Callithrix jacchus: one gene and its partners. The protein of the gene in region 2 interacts with the protein of the main gene of each other region in a biochemical or structural test. Links are inferred from orthologs where the notes say so. Each region holds a gene or a part of one and is shown on either strand. Other genes may lie near its edges.

The links.
Region 1: the proteins of NR2F1 (region 2) and BCL11B form a complex in vitro, tested with the Homo sapiens proteins (2 studies listed by BioGRID). The link is inferred for Callithrix jacchus from reciprocal best matches to the Homo sapiens genes NR2F1 and BCL11B.
Region 3: the proteins of NR2F1 (region 2) and BCL11A form a complex in vitro, tested with the Homo sapiens proteins (2 studies listed by BioGRID). The link is inferred for Callithrix jacchus from reciprocal best matches to the Homo sapiens genes NR2F1 and BCL11A.

The regions. Positions count from the first base shown.
Region 1 is NC_133509.1:134,117,508-134,124,327, forward strand, and holds part of BCL11B (B-cell lymphoma/leukemia 11B), read right to left. Parts: intron 3,544-6,820; coding exon 3,331-3,543; intron 1-3,330. UniProt on the Homo sapiens protein: Key regulator of both differentiation and survival of T-lymphocytes during thymocyte development in mammals.
Region 2 is NC_133503.1:117,067,327-117,074,146, reverse strand, and holds part of NR2F1 (COUP transcription factor 1), read left to right. Parts: intron 1-21; exon of another isoform or gene 22-128; intron 129-1,443; exon of another isoform or gene 1,444-1,539; coding exon of another isoform or gene 1,540-1,552; intron 1,553-2,227; coding exon 2,228-2,755; intron 2,756-6,820. UniProt on the Homo sapiens protein: Coup (chicken ovalbumin upstream promoter) transcription factor binds to the ovalbumin promoter and, in conjunction with another protein (S300-II) stimulates initiation of transcription. Binds to both direct repeats and palindromes of the 5'-AGGTCA-3' motif.
Region 3 is NC_133515.1:53,679,259-53,686,078, forward strand, and holds part of BCL11A (BCL11 transcription factor A), read left to right. Parts: intron 1-337; coding exon 338-2,358; 3' UTR 2,359-2,360; intron 2,361-6,820. UniProt on the Homo sapiens protein: Transcription factor. Associated with the BAF SWI/SNF chromatin remodeling complex. Binds to the 5'-TGACCA-3' sequence motif in regulatory regions of target genes, including a distal promoter of the HBG1 hemoglobin subunit gamma-1 gene.

The DNA of each region.
Region 1 (6,820 bases), on a different chromosome or scaffold from region 2:
GACATGGTGGCAGAGGGCTGGAGGTAATAGCAGGCCTCTTAGAAGGGTGTCCTGGAGCGGTCCTAGGGGCTCAGCCTCCTGTAGTCCTAACCCCAGGAACAGGACACTGCCCTTCCTCACGCCCCTCCCAGAGCACTGCAGCCAAGCACGGGTTGCTCACAGGCTCTGAGTCCTGGCAGCTCTAAAATCCAAAAAGGCCTCCAATGCCAGAAGAAGAGCCAAAGCCAAAGATGTGGCGGGTGCTGGATGAGAAGCCTGGCATCAAATCCCACCTCTGCCACTCCCTCCTCCCTGCTCCTCCTTCTCGTTACGCAGGTCCCCACTCCCTGTCCTCCCCACCACTACACAAGCTGCAGGAGGGCAGGGACCTGCCTGCTGACTCTTCCTATGTGTGCACAGTGCTACAAACTAGGTGCTCTCCAAATGGCTTCAAGCTAAAGAATTAATGAATCGATAGATAAATGGATGGATGGATGGATGGATGGATGGATGGATGGATGGATGGACAGATGAACAAAGGCTGTATGGATGGATGGATGGATGGATGGACAGATAGACGGACGGACGGATGGATGGATGGATGGATGGATGGATGGATGGATGGATAGACGGACGGACAGATGAACAAAGGCTGGATGGATGGATGGATGGATGAATGGATGGATGGACAGATGGAAAGACAGATGAATGGATGGGTGGGTGGATGGATGGATGGATGGGTAGATGGACGGATCGATGAATGGATGGGTGGGTGGATGGATGGACAAATGGATGGATGGACAGATGGAAAGACAGATGAATGGATGAGTGGATGGATGGATGGACGGATGGACGGATGGACGGACGGATGGATGGATGAATGGATGGGTGGGTGGATGGATGGATGGATGGGTAGATGGACGGATCGATGAATGGATGGGTGGGTGGATGGATGGACAGATGGATGAATGGATGGATGGACGGATGGATGGATGAATGGATGGGTGGGTGGATGGATGGATGGATGGGTAGATGGACGGATCGATGAATGGATGGGTGGGTGGATGGATGGACAGATGGATGAATGGATGGATGGACGGATGGATGGACGGATGGATGAATGGATGGGTGGGTGGGTGGGTGGGTGGGTGGATGGATGGATGGATGGATGGACGGATGGATGGACAGATGGATGGATGTGAGCTGTGAGACCTCAACATTTCCAAGCATTATTTTCTCATCTGTAAAATGAGGAGAGTAAAGCATTAGGTTGCTGTGAGGATTAAATTCCAGAAAGCACACAAATGCCCAGCACCGTACAGCACATAGAAGGCCCTCCACACACAGTCCTCATGAGGATCCCAGTGGCACGTATGAGGACTTGCTGTTGGCAGAGTCCACCAGAGCCAAGGCAGTGGAAAGTTCATTTGACCTCCCATGGATGTGGGCAGAGGCAGCATGGTTCCATGGAAAGAGGGGTGGCCTTTCAGAAGGCACCCAAGGACAAATCCCAGCTCTGCCACCCTGGCAAGCCACTCTCCCTCCCCAAGGCCTTGCTTCTCCATCTGCAGAATGGGGATGATAACAGCTCCTGCTCAGCACCATACAAAGATGCAAAGTGGGCCTGGCCACTTGAGGGAGGGGCTCAGTCCTCTAGCTGAGTCTCATCTACTTCGGCAGCATCTCAGCAGGGCCAGCAGAGGGTTAAGCAAAGCCCTGGGTAAGCCTCTGATGAGATCAGATTTCTGTGCTGCCGCAGAACTTGACCAAGTCCAGTAATAAACACTCAGGTTGATCTTTGATAGCACGGCCCCCCCAGTGGCTGCGGAGGCTGCAACACTAATGACAGGAAGCCGTGAGAACAGGGCAACCACCCAGAAGAAGCAGGCACCCCTTGCTCAGCAAGCAGGGCCTTCTGCAGACTCAGAACAGATTTACTGAGCCAGGACGGGAGGCCTGAGCACCTGGGGACCAGCACAGCCTAGAACGGGGAGACGGCGTCTTTGCAAGTGGTTCTGATTCCTTCCCTGGAGATTTTGGGTTTTGCTTTGTGCATTTAAGGCACAAGCCCAGTAAGAAGCCAGAACTCCCTCTTGGAAGCCAGATCCTATAATGTCACCACCTGTCACAGCAGGGAGGGTATACTAAAGGCTCCAGGCCACCCTACTAGGGAGCTCTGGCGCCCAGGGAGCTCTGGACCCTGGAGCAGGGGCTGCCTGCGGCCTTCTGCAGAGCTATGGCTCCAACAGGGACTGTCCCTGGGGACAGCTTCAATTCAAAGCAAAAGCTGCCCAATAAAAATAGTTTTCCTTTCACAACTCAAGTCAAGAGAAAGCCTGCACCATGCCTGGTGACAAAGCAGGGACCAATCAAATCTGCCCCAGCTCTGCACCCACCCTCTCTCCTTTCCTGCCCCTGCCACAGCAACCAGGCCACAGCCGATTGCCACGTGTGTCTGTGTCAGCATCCTGGCTTGTGTGGCCACAGCACTTTCACACCAGGCCCTGCTGAGACGCTGTGGAGACAGACTTGTGAGAGGGCCCTTTGCCTCTGACTTCCCAGGGACCCCAAGAATTCCCAGAGACCCCTAGGTGGAGCAAGATCTTGGGTTCCACCTGGGGAGAGGCAGAGCACATAGAGGAGGACAGTGTTGTGTCGCCAACCTGCCCTGTCTGCCCATCTGTAGAATAGGCAGTGACACCGCCCTCCCAGGAAAGCAGGACGAGTAGGCACAAACACAGCTGTGTCTGAATCTGGCCCAGAGCTGGACGCACAGCAGGAACTCAGCCCCCACCCCTGCCCCTCACACACCCCACAGGGTTTCACTCCCTCTCGTGGCCGCAGCTTTGTAGGAGGCTCCTTTTGAGCCACTTTCTTTTTCAAAGTTAATGGGCAACACATTCTCCCAAAGAGAAACTCAGCATTTTGGATGGCTCCAGCAATGTACACAGACAAGCAAGGAATCCTCCCCTAGCCTTGTCTTGGCAGGGCAGGGGGTTGTCTGGGGTGGGGGAAGGGGTGGCAGTGGCAAGGGCAGAAGAAAACCTCAGATGTTAAGTGTTATACGATTAAGTGTTATCCAACCCAAAGAACGGGATTGGGAGGCTAGGGATGCATTCTGGGAACAAGACTCTCAGAACGGGTGGGGGCACGGTGGGGACTCTTGCCATGGGGCACTGGGCACTGGCTCGTAGTTCAGTGAACATTCTTCACCACTTCCCCTGGCACCCCAAAAAGCCTTCTGGGTGGGAGCTGCCCTTCCTCCCTGGGCCCCCACCTTGCTCCAGCACTGCCCACGGCACACCCCGCCATCCCCGGGGGCCCACCCCCCACCACCGCGTCGTCTGTTACCTGACAACTGACACTGGCATCCAAAGGGAGCCTCCGTCTGACCCTCACCCTGAGTCCCGTCACCCGAGACCGGGCGCGCGCTGCAGCACGGCAGGGGGAGGCAGGGCGGGAGAGCGCCCAGGGCCCGCAGAGGTGAAGTGATCACGGATGAGTGAGGGTGGGAGGAGGCGGTTATGGGGGCCACCGCTGGCAGCTGGGCAGGCCTGCACGGCCCTGGAGAAAAAACAATAGAAAAGACTGGTCAGTCGGGCCCTGGACCAAGTGAGGGGCACGGGGTGGGACGGGGCCCGGGGCGCGGGGCTCGGCTCAGGCCACCCTTCAGGGGTGGGAGGCCCCAGGGGTGCCAGGCACTGCAGGGAAAGCAATCGGGACACAGGCAGGGGAATGGGCATGGGGAGGTGGACAGGGGGCTCTGGGAAGGGCCCTGTTTCCACAGCTGCCAGGCTGGGCTGTTGAGGAGGCAGGACCCCATCTCTGGGGGCCTTGTGCAGGGGGCTGGGTGAATGGGGGCTGTGAGGGCCCCGCTCTCAGGAAGGACCCCTGACGTGGGGGCTTCTGGAGCAATCAAGCAGGTTCCATTTGGGGATCTGTTTCCAAAACTTCGGGCTACCCCTCCCTGGAAGAGCTGGGTAGCTCAGCACCTCCCCTGTGTTGCTGATGGGTTGCAGGATGGGTTGCTCGTACAGGCCAGGGACAGCTCGGCCTGCCTCCAGGTGTCTGAGCACTAAGAGTCTCCCGGCTTGCAGACTACCTGCAGGGGCTCTCTTCAGCCCCAAGCACCAAGCATGTGCACCCCAGCCCCAAAGCCCTTCAGAAGGCTTTTTCACCCCCACAACACCCCAAGAAAACCCTGGCGCTGCTCAGCCACTCCTAACATCTCAGCCTGGCTTGGGAGGCCTCCCGCCATGTGACAGAGCGAGGACGCAGGGCCAGGGTCGGCCCCGCCTCTGCCCAACCCCACAGCTCGCTCAGCTCCCTGGCAAGGCCTGCGTTTGATTTAGCCGTTTATCTTAAATGGCTAAGAGACCACCAGGGCAAAACATTTGTGTGAAGCCCTTGCCAAAACCACAAGTGAAGAAGCCCAAATTCCCTGGGCAAATAATTGAACAGGAAAGCATCAGAGAGACAGAAAGGAAACATCAACAAGAGGACGGGCAGCTGGGCCCAGCCAGCTCCGGCAGGGAGGCCCAGCACAGGTCTGCACGGCTGGGGGTCTGCCCACTCCAGGGCCCCCACATGGATCCCCCCAGCCCAAGGAGAGCCACAGGGGCCTGTGAGCCACCGTGAGCCAGGAGCCTGTCAGTCTTCATTGAACTGAACTTCCTAACACACTCACGGGGGGTGGGGCTTAGGATACCCATTGCACAGGCTGGCGTGACTGCAGAAAACTGCAGACATCAGCAGCTCATCCAAACCCCAGCTGTCTGGCCCCAGAACCAGGGCTCTTTCTCTGTACCCTGGTTTCTCTGAAACATGGGTTATCCAGGATTGAGGCACTGGGGCATTGAACAAGACCCCCTGCTTAGGGACTGCCAACTGCCAGTGTCCCGTCAAGAGGTCAAAGCTAACGCCAACACTGCTCGGACCCCTCTGGGCTACCGAAGACCCCATATTAGGTTAGGCCTAGGGCCCAGGGTGTTTCTGAGCTAGGGTTAGCCCTTGGAGGACATGGCTGAGGAACCTGTAAACCGTTTCAGTCTCAGATGCTGATGGGAAGGCCATGTCCTAGATTTAGTGCCGTTCCTCAAGGAAGGTCAGCACCTGCCCCCTCCTGGAAGCCTGCCCTGACCTGAACCTCCCTGGCCTGCACGCTGCCTGTGCTCCTGTCCACTGGTGGTCTCAAATCCCTATGTGGGCCTTCCCTGCAGACCACTGAGGACATCCATCATCATGACAGCCACTTCGCTCAGCAAACATCCACATTCTGTGGTGGGGAAACTGAGGCTCGGGGATATCTGAGACTGGAACCCAGCTGTGTCTCCAGAGCCCGCAATGCTCTGCTTCCCTCTAGGGCTGCAGTGAATGGAGTGAAGGGACCAGGGCTCGTAGGATCTATAGTCAGGGGAGGAGGACTGAGATCCTGGGCTCAATCCCGCCATTGGTAGCTGCAAAGGCCAAACCCAAGCTCCGGTTCCTGGGTTCTGTGTGAGGCCATGACACAGCCAGCACCATTTATCATGATGGAGAAACCGGCAGAAGCACCTCGAGGCCTGGTAAGGTTGTCCCAGGTGCTAAGGAGCTGACTCTGTGTCCGTGGCGGGAGGAACAGTTGGAGAGCAGCTAGAAAACAGGCAACTGGCCACACCCTTCTCATGGAAAGGTCCAAGGTGGGGCTCAAGCCAGGGTCTGTAAAGGCGATGTCACACACCACGAGATGCGCCCTGCATAGGGGTCGGGGGCTGGGCCGCCCTGGACAGGTTCCCCAGGGCCTCATTAGGAATTCTGACCTTCCTGAAGTCGACCTGCTCCAGGGGCCAGCTCAACTGAGGCTGAGGGGAGGGGGGCAACCTGGAGAGGGGCTTCAAATCCCAAGCTCTTCGGGGCTTCTCTGGGGCTCTCAGAGCACCTTCTACCCTGGGAGAGGTTTCCCCATGGGGCAGCTTAAACCCAGAGCCCTGCCCAAAGGTGGAACTCAAGAAATCTGAAACTATTGCAAAAGCCAAAGTGATGAAAGGACCCACATACTGCATGATTCCACAGATATGAAATGTTCAGAAGCCGCCAATCCATGGACACAGAAAGTAGCGGTTGCCAGGGGCTAGGGAGCCAGGAGGGGCAAGAAGGGAGGCTAGTGGGTACAGAGTCTCTTTGGGGGGTGATGAAAATTCTCGGGACTTAGGAGTGACAGCTGCATGACATTGTGAGTGTACAATTTAAAATGGTCAACTTTACATCACGTGACTCTTAACTTGGAAAAACAGCCTCAGTACCTGTCCCAGCCTACCTCCTAGCCCCCATCCTTCCTCAGAGGAGGGGTATCTGCCTTTAAAAGTGCAGCTGGGAAATCCAGAAAGCACTTAAGGAGCGCTTGAGGCCTGGGGACAGGGTGTGCAGCCACACGTGCACAGAGGAAGCCACCAGAGCTCCCACGCCATACAGCCTTCAGGACCGAGAGGCCTGGATTCGAATTCCTCCTCAGCCGTCTCCTGGCCTCCTGGTTGAAGGTGAGTCACTTTCTCAGAGCCTCAGCTCCCTCAGCTTTAAAGGAAGGGTCAGAGCCAGGGACAGAGGAAGCACGCAGCAAAGGGTCACCATCCTTCTCTCACTTTCCATTCCGATACCTGCCCCACTCCCTATGGTCCTTTCCAAGGCACCAGCACTGCCCAGCAAAGAAAGCAAGAGGGTGTGCTCTGAACACAGCAAAGCCCACTACAAAGACCTGCAAGACACTCCAAAAAGAACGCTTTCTTTGGAGGTCTACGCACACACAAAAAAAGTTTAAAAACAAGGCCCCTAAAATGCTTCTTTGGCTCCAAAACAGGGCAATGAT
Region 2 (6,820 bases):
GCTCCTCTCCCCGGCTCCCCCACCCCGCCCGCTGCCTGCTCAGGATTGTGTCCCTGGGATCGTGAGCTGTGGCTTAAAATCCCCTTCTTCCCTCTGTCTTGGATGTGCTCGATGTGTGTCTCCCGCGTGTGCGTGAGGCTGCTTGGGGCTGTGCTGGCATGAACTTGGGGAGGGGTGCTTATTTCCTCCAGAAAACTCTGTTTCTGTGTTTTTTCATTCCACTTTTCCCTCCACCTCTTCATACCCTTTATTTAAAATGGGGGAGGGCTGGGGGCTGGAGTACCCTGAACCATAGATTCATTGCTGCCATCATCCTTTTGGAAGCTTAGCTTGGAAAAAGAGGAGTGAGATTTATTGCACTTGTAGGTCTAATTAGGGGGGAAGGGGGGCTTCTGGCCCGTTCACTGGTTCCCTCTCTTCTTCACGGAGCTGGGGCCGCCTCCTCCAGAGCTGTGGCCTTGTTTTCACCCCTCTACTTTGAAAGGAAAGTTTGTGACTGAACCGTGCTTTCATAGTTCTGTCATTTTTTTTAAAGCATGATACTCGTTTTATTTCTTCATCAAACTCCACCCTCTCCTTAAATACTGCATACAAATTACAATTTACAACGGCATTTACCGATCCTTCTGATTTGGCCATAATGCATAGACTGCAGCTGGCATGAGCTTCCACATCATTTAATCCCTGTGTTGTATGGGTTTGTGTTTTTTTTTAAAAAAAAAACACAACTTTTGATGTTGTATTTGGATCTGCTTCATGTTCATGTGGCAAGAGATGCAGTACTTTTCTTATAAATATATTTTGCCGTTTACAGTTAAAGTTTATCTCTTGACAATCATTAAAGATGTCTTATAGTCAAATTAGAGAACCAGTCAATTTTGCAGAATGCAGATTACTCTTTCTTGTAATTGACTTTAAAATTATATTTTATATGCCAGAAGAAAAGAAATTGAATTCCTTCAGATCTGAAGGAGCAGGCAAATATGACTACTTCATTTCTAGCTCCAGGGAGATTTTGCAGGCATCTGGAAAAAAAAAAAAAAAAAACTTTAAATTGTACTCTCACTTAATTGAAAAATAACTGCCAAGTTCAAAACTATAATTAGAAAAAAGTATTCTAGCCATTATGTTTCAAGAGCTTAAGTTGCACTGGAACTTGTATTAAAATTAGAATCAAAGCAAACTTAAGAAAATAGGGCAAAACCTGAAATAAGACAGCTACATGTACATGAACATAGCTGTATTAATTTGTTGGGGGGAGAGTTCAGTAGCCCTAACTTTTCCTAAAGTTGTCTTTGTTTACATGGCAATTTAAAACGCTGGCACTGTTGAAGTAAAACATACACATTAAAAAAAAAAAAAAAAAACTTTGGTCAGCTTTAAGAACTCAAAGCATGCTTACGTTTTGCATTCAGATGGTTAATGAATCCAGTGTTTTTGCAGTTGAAAGCTCGTGCATTCACTGGGCAAAAGCTGGCTGCAGGTTGCAGTGGCACCGCACAGGACAGACATTAATTATATTTCCCACTTTTTTCAATAATGTTTGGCTACTGTAAGTTCAATTTTTTTCTTGAAAATTTTCAATTTTCTGTTGCTTTTAATAGTGAGAACTTTGTATGAGGCGACGGGGAGGAGGGGAGAAGGGAGGGGTGCAGGATACTTGTTCTCTACTCAAAAGTTGTAAGTGGTTAGTAGGATATGCAACTTGTGTCTATTTTAAGAATCATTCTATAGCATTTTAAGAGAATATGGAAACATTTTATCAGCAAAACGCTCCTTGCTTGCAAATGAGGAGGCCTCTAGGCATTTGCCTAGAACCACAACCTTCCTCCGGTTTCGCCTTTTATTTAATCCCTGATTTTTTTTTTTTTTTTAATTCTGAAGGGGTGACTGAGGTTTCATTTATCTTAGTGTTCCTCCTTGGTGGCTTAGGGGTTGGGTGGCACTTTCTTGGCCTTGCCAGGGTGGGGACCCTGGAGTCAGGCCTAGTTCCGGCGGGGCTGAGGTGGCCAGGGGCTCAGGCGATGGACACATCGAGCTACGGAGCTGGAGGGCCTCACCCCAGATCTCCTCGCGGTGTGGACTGTGAGAGCGAGCCAGAGAAGATGCGCAGGGCGCGTGTGGCTGCGGGAAGAGCTTCTGCATTGTGTTGGGTACGCTGCGGCGCGGCAATGTTCGCAAGCCCCCTGGATGCACATTGCCTCTTTTCTCTCTTTCTTTTTGTCAGCGGTTCAGCGAGGAAGAATGCCTCCAACCCAGCCCAATCCAGGCCAGTACGCACTCACCAACGGGGACCCCCTCAACGGCCACTGCTACCTGTCCGGCTACATCTCGCTGCTGCTGCGCGCCGAGCCCTACCCCACGTCGCGCTACGGCAGCCAGTGCATGCAGCCCAACAACATTATGGGCATCGAGAACATCTGCGAGCTGGCCGCGCGCCTGCTCTTCAGCGCCGTCGAGTGGGCCCGCAACATCCCCTTCTTCCCGGATCTGCAGATCACCGACCAGGTGTCCCTGCTACGCCTCACCTGGAGCGAGCTGTTCGTGCTCAACGCGGCCCAGTGCTCTATGCCGCTGCACGTGGCGCCGCTGCTGGCCGCCGCCGGCCTGCACGCCTCGCCCATGTCCGCAGACCGCGTCGTGGCCTTCATGGACCACATCCGCATCTTCCAGGAGCAGGTGGAGAAGCTCAAGGCGCTGCACGTCGACTCGGCCGAGTACAGCTGCCTCAAAGCCATCGTGCTGTTCACGTCAGGTGAGGCTGCGGTCGCGGGGAGGGCAGGCCACGCTGCCGGCGAGCGCAGGCCCCGCGCCGCCCGGGCCTGGCCTTTGGAGGCTCCCGCGCGGCGGGTGCGGGGCGGGCCGGGCCCTAGCCGGACACTGAGCCTGGCCCGGGTCTGCGACCCTCGCGCGGGGACCGGCCAGCCGCGCAGCTGCCATCTTGGGAGCTCGGCGGTGCGGGAGCGGAGGCGGCGCGGGTGTGGCCGGCGGGCGACCGGGCCTAGTCGCCCGGACCCTTGAGTGGGACCGCGGCTGCCGCGGATGTGTGTCTGAGGCGGGCGGGGTGGGGGGGAGCAGTGCTGTGGATCTGCCTGGCTGCGCAAGTGAGCGGGTGTTCGTGTGTGTGTGTGTGTGTGTGTGGTTTGTGTTATGTGTGAGCCAGAGCTCAGCGTTTCTGGGGGAGGCGAGGGAAGGAAGAGAACGTGGGAATGTGGCTTCTTACCTTGTGTGGCAAGCTCCTTGGATGAGTTTCCCGACATAGGGAGACACAGAGAAAGGTGGAAAGAGAAGAATACGCACAAATAAATCGTAAATAATCCCGCTTTATTGCTGCCTGATTTTCCCTTATCGGAAACCATTCATGTTTGCAGTTGCTGAGGTTATTGAGGGTCGTAAAAACAGGATTCGATCTAAACAAGAAAGATAAAAAACAAAAGCAATACTATAGAACCCGCAAGTATAGGAGGATTCCCCACCTAGAGATGAATTACAAAGCTATGCAAAACACATAAACATTGGAAATTTAACAGAGTGCCTTAAAAAATATCAAATTATGTGTAGGCAGTGGTAACATGCATGTTAACAATTTCTCTTATGATAGATGGTTCAAATTAACTTCCAGGAAAGTGCATTAATGTTTCCTTTGAAGGGCTCTGGTCTGAGCCTCTGAGAACATTGCCCGCTTTTTATTATTGTAACCTGCAAGAGGGAAATATATAAACACCCAGGACAGCAGGTAATGGGGGGAAATAGAAACAAAGCCAGAGAGAAGGCTGCTTAGACTGGATCTTGGGCCCTGCCCACTGTGAGTAGGGTTAGCTGCAGTTTTACCACCATTATTGGCACTATTGTTTTTAATTCCTCCATTCAGAGAACAAATAAACCATCCTAATAAATCTATCCTGGAGCCAGGCTTTCCAATGGCCAAATTAAAACCATTCTTGAGCAGAGATGGCAAAATCCCTTTCCTAAGGCCTTGTTGAACAGTAAGCAACGGTATAATCTATCAATATTTCTTGGCTTTCATGCGTGAAGAATCGTATTTACATTGTATTAAAATGACTCTTAAATTTGCACAATATTGTAATGTAGCAAATGTAGTATTAATATCGATCTGAACAGCAGATAATTTATTTAGACAAGAGCATCTCATTTGTATGCAGGGTGGCCAGAGCCATGGACTTGGACTGCCCCCCTTTTACTTTCAGTGCAAATGCAGGTCTGCTAGTGAGAGAGGGAGTTATTCTTTCCAAGAGGATAAAGTGCAAACCTTAAAACAAATGGAAGATTTATGGAATAGCCTCCTTGGTGTTTGAATGCATTTTATCTTAATAAGTCTTCTTGATGGAAATGTGTTTTTCAAAAGTGACAAAGAGCCTGGGAAGCAGCAACCAGGCTGCTTCAGCTCTGGCAGGCCTGGGGCCTGGCTGGCTCTCTACTACCAGGCTCTTTAGCCAAATTCATCAGGAAGCAAGCCAGTGTCAGGGAAGCTGGGGTTTCAAAATCTCATCCAGCGAGGTGTCTTGAAGCAGAAATGTGACTTGGAACTGGACAGAAGTCCTCTCAGGAAAGGTCTCCCCTCTTTTTTCCTTACTCCCCCTAAGGTTCTTTGAATCCGCCTTGACTTTGTTAATCTCATGCCCTTTCCCAGAGAGTGGTGAGGACTGTGCAGGCTGCAGGGAAACATTGTGGAATTATTCATGCTTTTCTTTTAACTTTCCATCCTAAAACATTCCTGTGAAAAGTGTTCCTTTAAAAAGTTTTCCAAAGAAGTTTCTTGAATCAAGGCTTCAAGGTGCAAGGAGTGCCTAGAAATGAACAATAACATTATTTTGTTGGAAAATTGCAAGGAGAATATCTGAAAATGGAAATAGAGCTGTCAGTAGTAATTCACCCCCACCCCCCATGCAACACATTTCCACTTTTGACTAAACTTGTTTTGATTGCTAGCCAGAAGGGAATTCATGGGAAGCCTTCTCAAAGTCATCCAACTTTTAAGCAAACTTTGAATGATGGAAAAGACAGTTTTAGACATATTGTCCAATGTGGTTTGCTCTGGCTAAGTATTTGAAGCTGGCACCGGGGTCCCCCGTGGTGGTTTTCACATTTGGCCTCCGGATGGTATGTTTAATCCTTAATATTCTGGACTCCATCCAAGGACTAGGTCATGACCTGAACTTACTTTTTTAAAAAATTCATTAATTCATACATCTAAATATTCCTTCAAATAAATGAGACTTTCTCTGAAAGGAGCCATCTAGTTAACATAAATACAATAAATCCATTTTCAGCACAATAATAACTTTGATTTCTAGTTATAGCAGCTGATAACATCTATATTTCCTGAACACTAAACTCTTCTGAATGCACAACATGAAATATATTCTCTGCACTACAAAGACTAAGCCAGGAGGGCCTGAGCAGTAATGGTTATTTATTTACATAATTTCTTTTCCATATACTGTAGAAGAAATATTGAGAGTTCCCACATTGACACTACCATATAAAAAGTGTGACATGGATTTTGCACATTCTGCCTCATTTTCTTATCTGGAGTATAACTCATGGAGCATAAATATGTACTGCATTACACTCCCTGGTCACCTAGCTTTGTCACCACAACCCCCCAGTTGATCTGGGAACTCATACCTTCTGTCCACATTTGGGGGAATCCTGTTGCAAAGGGGTGAGAGAATATTCAGACTGGGAAGATAGGCCAGAACCAGGGCTCCTGACGAAGGGAAGCCACAGAGATGGCTGGCTGGTACCTGACAGGCAGGCCCAGCTACATACATTTGTCTCCAAAGGAGGGAAGAAATGGAAGCAGTCAGCACAGGGCCCAAGCAGGCTTTTCCTGGGCTTGTCTCTTTTGGAGCCGCCTGTTTGGGAGTCAGGAAATGACCTTGTGTTCTGGGGACCCTAATTGTAAATGTCAGATAGATATTTTACTGACCTGAGGGGATGCCAGATGGATCTTAAAAAAATTAATAATCTGCTGGGGTACCAAGGAGTCCTTTTCACATTGCATTGTCTGGGGCTCAGAATGATCCATAGCATCCAGGCAGATAATGCCTGTAAAGCAAGCTATATGTAAATATGGGTTTGTGTCTGAGTGAGGGTCATTCATCAGGGCCAGGTTAGCAAGCAGGGCCAAACTCAGGGTCCCCTCTCTAAGTAGCAAAGCCCCACGGAGCTCTTGCCACCCTGGCTCTGCTAGCCGTAAAGTCTCGTTTGGCTTCCCAAATCAGACCAGTGTGGATATACCCAATTGGCTGGCTGGAGTAATTAGACATCTGAGAGGAACCTAAGTCTGTATCTGAGGTCAAAGGGGACTTGCCTCAGAAGTTCTTGAATTATCACTAGTTTTATTTGTATTTTTGCTCGAGGCCATAGCCTTGTAGATGAAGGTGTTAGAATGCTTTGTAAATCCCAGTTCTTCAAATATAAGGACAGAAAGCTCAGAAACTCAGCAGACACATGTTTTGCTTTAAATCATTTGTTGTGTCTTCATAGGTTCACACTTGCCCATTCACAATTATACAATCTCATTTTGGGGGCATTGCCATGCATGAATTTTCTTCCTAGATCTATATATTAGCAAACTCTGCCTTTGATCTCTAGTCAACCTCCTGACTGGCTAAGGGCTCCTCTGTGATCTTCCTGTTTTTTAAAAAATATTTATTATTAATACAAGAAACAAGTGGGTATTTGAACTAGGAGAGGACACCTTTACTCCATTACTCCATTCCTCTTATTCCATCTTTCCCACCCTTTGCTTGCCTCTAGTTAGTTTATACAGTATAATCTGCTGTCCTGAAAT
Region 3 (6,820 bases), on a different chromosome or scaffold from region 2:
TGGGACTGGAAAGTTTAGAAGATAATTGTTGAGGTGCTTAGAATGTAGGGACCTTCATCCTCAAGCCAGGATTTTTCTGCTTTAGGGAACTGGCTATAAAATTCCTAGAACCGAGTTTAATGGCAGGGAGACTGGTTGGGCCAATATTTACTGGGTTCGCACGCTGCACACTCAGTTGTGCCAGGCACAATTTAGGCACAGGGCTAGGCCAGTGAGGGCTTAGGCCTTGGGGTTGAGGGGTGGGGGCAGGGAAGGCTGGAGGTGGAACATAAATAAGCAATTGCTGATACCCGCCTCAGTGATTAAACATTGATGTTGGTGTTGTATTATTTTGCAGGTAAAGATGAGCCCAGCAGCTACACATGTACAACTTGCAAACAGCCATTCACCAGTGCATGGTTTCTCTTGCAACACGCACAGAACACTCATGGATTAAGAATCTACTTAGAAAGCGAACACGGAAGTCCCCTGACCCCGCGGGTTGGTATCCCTTCAGGACTAGGTGCAGAATGTCCTTCCCAGCCACCTCTCCATGGGATTCATATTGCAGACAATAACCCCTTTAACCTGCTAAGAATACCAGGATCAGTATCGAGAGAGGCTTCCGGCCTGGCAGAAGGGCGCTTTCCACCCACTCCCCCCCTGTTTAGTCCACCACCGAGACATCACTTGGACCCCCACCGCATAGAGCGCCTGGGGGCAGAAGAGATGGCCCTGGCCACCCATCACCCGAGTGCCTTTGACAGGGTGCTGCGGTTGAATCCAATGGCTATGGAGCCTCCCGCCATGGATTTCTCTAGGAGACTTAGAGAGCTGGCAGGGAACACGTCTAGCCCACCGCTGTCCCCAGGCCGGCCCAGCCCTATGCAAAGGTTACTGCAACCATTCCAGCCAGGTAGCAAGCCACCCTTCCTGGCGACGCCCCCCCTCCCTCCTCTGCAATCCGCCCCTCCTCCCTCCCAGCCCCCCGTCAAGTCCAAGTCATGCGAGTTCTGCGGCAAGACGTTCAAATTTCAGAGCAACCTGGTGGTGCACCGGCGCAGCCACACAGGCGAGAAGCCCTACAAGTGCAACCTGTGCGACCACGCGTGCACCCAGGCCAGCAAGCTGAAGCGCCACATGAAGACGCACATGCACAAGTCGTCCCCCATGACAGTCAAGTCCGACGACGGTCTCTCCACCGCCAGCTCCCCGGAACCCGGCACCAGCGACCTGGTGGGCAGCGCCAGCAGCGCGCTCAAGTCCGTGGTGGCCAAGTTCAAGAGCGAGAACGACCCCAACCTGATCCCGGAGAACGGGGACGAGGAGGAAGAGGAGGACGACGAGGAAGAGGAAGAAGAGGAGGAAGAGGAGGAGGAGGAGCTGACAGAGAGCGAGAGGGTGGACTACGGCTTCGGGCTGAGCCTGGAGGCAGCGCGCCACCACGAGAACAGCTCGCGGGGCGCGGTGGTGGGCGTGGGCGACGAGAGCCGTGCCCTGCCCGACGTCATGCAGGGCATGGTGCTCAGCTCCATGCAGCACTTCAGCGAGGCCTTCCACCAGGTCCTGGGCGAGAAGCATAAGCGCGGCCACCTGGCCGAGGCTGAGGGCCACAGGGACACTTGTGACGAAGACTCGGTGGCCGGCGAGTCGGACCGCATAGACGATGGCACTGTTAACGGCCGCGGCTGCTCCCCGGGAGAGTCGGCCTCGGGGGGCCTGTCCAAAAAGCTGCTGCTGGGCAGCCCCAGCTCGCTGAGCCCCTTCTCTAAGCGCATCAAGCTCGAGAAGGAGTTCGACCTGCCCCCGGCCGCGATGCCCAACACGGAAAACGTGTACTCGCAGTGGCTCGCCGGCTACGCGGCCTCCAGGCAGCTCAAAGATCCCTTCCTTAGCTTCGGAGACTCCAGACAATCGCCTTTTGCCTCCTCGTCGGAGCACTCCTCGGAGAACGGGAGCTTGCGCTTCTCCACGCCGCCCGGGGAGCTGGACGGAGGGATCTCGGGGCGCAGCGGCACGGGAAGTGGAGGGAGCACGCCCCATATTAGTGGTCCGGGCCCGGGCAGGCCCAGCTCAAAAGAGGGCAGACGCAGCGACACTTGTGAGTACTGTGGGAAAGTCTTCAAGAACTGTAGCAATCTCACTGTCCACAGGAGAAGCCACACGGGCGAAAGGCCTTATAAATGCGAGCTGTGCAACTATGCCTGTGCCCAGAGTAGCAAGCTCACCAGGCACATGAAAACGCATGGCCAGGTGGGGAAGGACGTTTACAAATGTGAAATTTGTAAGATGCCTTTTAGCGTGTACAGTACCCTGGAGAAACACATGAAAAAATGGCACAGTGATCGAGTGTTGAATAATGATATAAAAACTGAATAGAGGTATATTAATACCCCTCCCTCACTCCCACCTGACACCCCCTTTTTCACCACTCCCCTTCCCCATCGCCCTCCAGCCCCACTCCCTGTAGGATTTTTTTCTAGTCCCATGTGATTTAAACAAACAAACAAACAAACAAACAGAAGTAATGAAGCTAAGAATATGAGAGTGCTTGTCACCAGCACACCTGTTTTTTTTTCTTTTTCTTCTTTTTTCTTTTTCCTTTTTTTTTTTCCTTTATGTTCTCACCGTTTGAATGCATGATCTGTATGGGGCAATACTATTGCATTTTACGCAAACTTTGAGCCTTTCTCTTGTGCAATAATTTACATGTTGTGTATGTTTTTTTTTAAACTTAGACAGCATGTATGGTATGTTATGGCTATTTTAAATTGTCCCTAATTCGTTGCTGAGCAAACATGTTGCTGTTTCCAGTTCCGTTCTGAGAGAAAAAGAGAGAGAGAGAGAAAAAGACCATGCTGCATACATTCTGTAAAACATATCATGTACAGTTTTATTTTATAACGTGGAGGAAAAACAGTCTTTGGATTAACCCTTTATAGACAGAATAGATAGCGCTGAAAAAAATCTCTATGAGCTAAATATCTGTCTCTAAAGGGTTAAATGTATCAATTAGAGAGGAAAAAAAGGCCTTGAATTGACAAATTAACAACAACAAAAAAACAAGTTTATTCTATCATTTGGTTTTAAAATATGAGTGCCTTGGATCTATTAAAACCACATTGATGGTTCTTTCTACGTGTTATAAACTTGTAGCTTAATTCAGCATTGGGTGAGGTAATAAACCTTAGGAACTAGCATATAATTCTATATTGTATTTCTCACAACAATGGCTACCTAAAACTATGACCCATTATGTCCTAGTTAATCATCATTTTCCTTTAGTTTAATTTTATAAACAAAACTGATTATACCAGTATAAAAGCTACTTTGCTCCTGGTGAGAGCTTAAAAGAAATGGGCTGTTTTGCCCAAAGTTGTATTTTTTTTAAACAATGATTAAAATTGAATGTGTAATGTGCAAAAGCCCTGGAACACAATTCAATACATTAGTAAGGAGTTCATTTTGTGAAGATATTTGCTTTAATAATGTCTTTTAAAAAAATTCTGGCACCAAAAGAAATAGATCCAGATCTACTTGGTTGTCAAGTGGACAATCAAATGAGAAACTTTAAGATCTTGTATACCATATTGAAAAGAAGAGGCTGACAATAAGATTTGACAAAGGGAACAGAAGAAAAAAATACGATTTATTAGCACAACGTGGTACTGTTTGCCATTTAAAACTAGAACAGGTATATAAGCTAATATTGATATAATGATGATTAACTATGAATTCTTAAGACTTGCATTTAAATGTGACATTCTTAAAGAAAGAAGAGAAAGAATTTTTAAGAGTAGCAGTATATATGTCTGTGCTCCCTAAAAGTTGTACTTCATTTCTTTTCCATACACTGTGTGCTATTTGTGTTAACATGGAAGAGGATTCATTGTTTTTATTTTATTTTTTATTTTTTTATTTTTTTATTAAGCTAGCATCTGCCCCAGTTGGTGTTCAAATAGCACTTGACTCTGCCTGTGATATCTGTATCTTTTCTCTAATCAGAGATACAGAGGTTGAGTATAAAATAAACCTGCTCAGATAGGACAATTAAGTGCACTGTACAATTTTCCCAGTTTACAGGTCTATACTTAAGGGAAAAGTTGCAAGAATGCTGAAAAAAAAAAAATTGAACACAATCTCATTGATGAGCATTTTTAAAAAACTAAAAAAAAAAACCTTTGCCAGCCATTTACTTGACTATTGAGCTTACTTACTTGGACGCAACATTGCAAGCGCTGTGAATGGAAACAGAATACACTTAACATAGAAATGAATGATTGCTTTCGCTTCTACAGTGCAAGGATTTTTTTGTACAAAACTTTTTTAAATATAAATGTTAAGAAAAAAATTTTTTAAAAAAAACACTTCATTATGTTTAGGGGGGAACTGCATTTTAGGGTTCCATTGTCTTGGTGGTGTTACAAGACTTGTTATCCATTTAAAAATGGTAGTGGAAATTCTATGCCTTGGATACACACCGCTCTTCAGGTTGTAAAAAAAAAAAAACATACATTGGGGAAAGGTTTAAGATTATATAGTACTTAAATATAGGAAAATGCACACTTCATGTTGATTCCTATGCTAAAATACATTTATGGTCTTTTTTCTGTATTTCTAGAATGGTATTTGAATTAAATGTTCATCTAGTGTTAGGCACTATAGTATTTATATTGAAGCTTGTATTTTTAACTGTTGCTTGTTCTCTTAAAAGGTATCAATGTACCTTTTTTGGTAGTGGAAAAAAAAAAGACAGGCTGCCACAGTATATTTTTTTAATTTGGCAGGATAATATAGTGCAAATTATTTGTATGCTTCAAAAAAAAAAGAGAGAAACAAAAAAGTGTGACATTACAGACGAGAAGCCATATAATGGCGGTTTGGGGGAGCCTGCTAGAATGTCACATGGATGACTGTCATAGGGGTTGTACATATCCTTTTTTGTTCCTTTTTCCTGCTGCCATACTGTATGCAGTACTGCAAGCTAATAACGTTGGTTTGTTATGTAGTGTGCTTTTTGTCCCTTTCCTTCTATCACCCTACATTCCAGCATCTTACCTTCATATGCAGTAAAAGAAAGAAAGAAAAAAAAGGAAAAAAAAAAAAAACCAATGTTTTGCAGTTTTTTTCATTGCCAAAAACTAAATGGTGCTTTATATTTAGATTGGAAAGAATTTCATATGCAAAGCATATTAAAGAGAAAGCCCGCTTTAGTCAATACTTTTTTGTAAATGGCAATGCAGAATATTTTGTTATTGGCCTTTTCTATTCCTGTAATGAAAGCTGTTTGTCGTAACTTGAAATTTTATCTTTTACTATGGGAGTCACTATTTATTATTGCTTATGTGCCCTGTTCAAAACAGAGGCACTTAATTTGATCTTTTATTTTTCTTTGTTTTTATTTTTTTTTTTTATTTAGATGACCAAAGGTCATTACAACCTGGCTTTTTATTGTATTTGTTTCTGGTCTTTGTTAAGTTCTATTGGAAAAACCACTGTCTGTGTTTTTTTGGCAGTTGTCTGCATTAACCTGTTCATACACCCATTTTGTCCCTTTATTGAAAAAAATAAAAAAAAATTAAAGTACACATTGTAAGCTTCTTGTGTCCTCATTTGACACACTCTGTAAATTACTTTCAAGAAAATAACAGGTTTTAAGAGAAGGCCAGTCAGTCTTTTTCAGGATTATTTCTATGGGCATTCTGATGCGTGTATTATACCCTAAAGGAACATTAAGTACTTACTATATTAAAATAGACATACCTCAACCCATGGAAATAGTTTTAAGGCTTTACAGTTCTAGAATAATTTTCAAGATATGGAAAGTGTTTTCAGTCTGATGTTAAAAACTTACTCCATCTCTTAGCAGAAATCCATTCAAATATAAGTGAAAAAACTTGCTGGTAATAGCATCTTAAATTTTTATTTCCTTTGGATTTTTTGCTGTTCTTGTTGTCTAAAAGTTCTTTTCTACTCTCCCATCCTTGCCTTATAATATAATGTAAAAATGATTTTTAAAAAAAAAATCATCTGTTTAGTTTCCATGTAAGACTCTTTCCTTGTAACAAAATAATCCCACTTTTCAAATCTAAAAATCTGGAAACAAAGGCATCAGGTAACAAACATAAAAATAAAAAAAGAGGGAGAAAAAGAGAGAGAAAGAGAGAGAAAAAAGCAGCCACTAGGGGTTCAGCCAGACAAGCCAGACATAGTGAAGTCTTTAGAATCAGCCACTGATTTCCTGAGATGCATAGTGGTTTGCCTTGTGGTTCTGAGATCCCAGGGACCCTAGACGCTACAAATTACTTCAGGTGTTTTGATAGGGTCTTCCTGGCTGACTGCAAATAAGGGTGGGAATACCCTTCAGTTACCTTTTGACCAGCCAGTTGGGTCTATTTAAAAAACCATTCCTTAGAAATCTGTGTTGTTAGTTTTACAAATACTGCATGTTGCAGCATCTATTTGCTTGACTAAAACATACCTCTGTGATATCGTCTCCCTGTACCCAGTGTAGATGAATTAATATGACATTGTTCTTATTTTTGTAAAAAACCAAAACAAAAGCTGTTCTGTTGTCTTCTTGTGGTAGCATTTTTTTGTTGCTCAGTTCTTATGCCCTAGTGCCTGTGAGGTGGCCTTTTCATGTCATGCCTTTTATCTTAGGCAAGAATACTTTCATCTTTCTAAAGTAGAGAGAGTCTATGTCTTCTGAAAAGCCAGTTTGAGTGGGAAGGGGAGAGTGGGGCCAGAGGAATCCACTGAGAGAGAATGTTGGAGAACATGACATAGAGCTGGGGCAGGGTGGGGGTGTGGTACCTTGAGAACTTGATGTCACCGAATT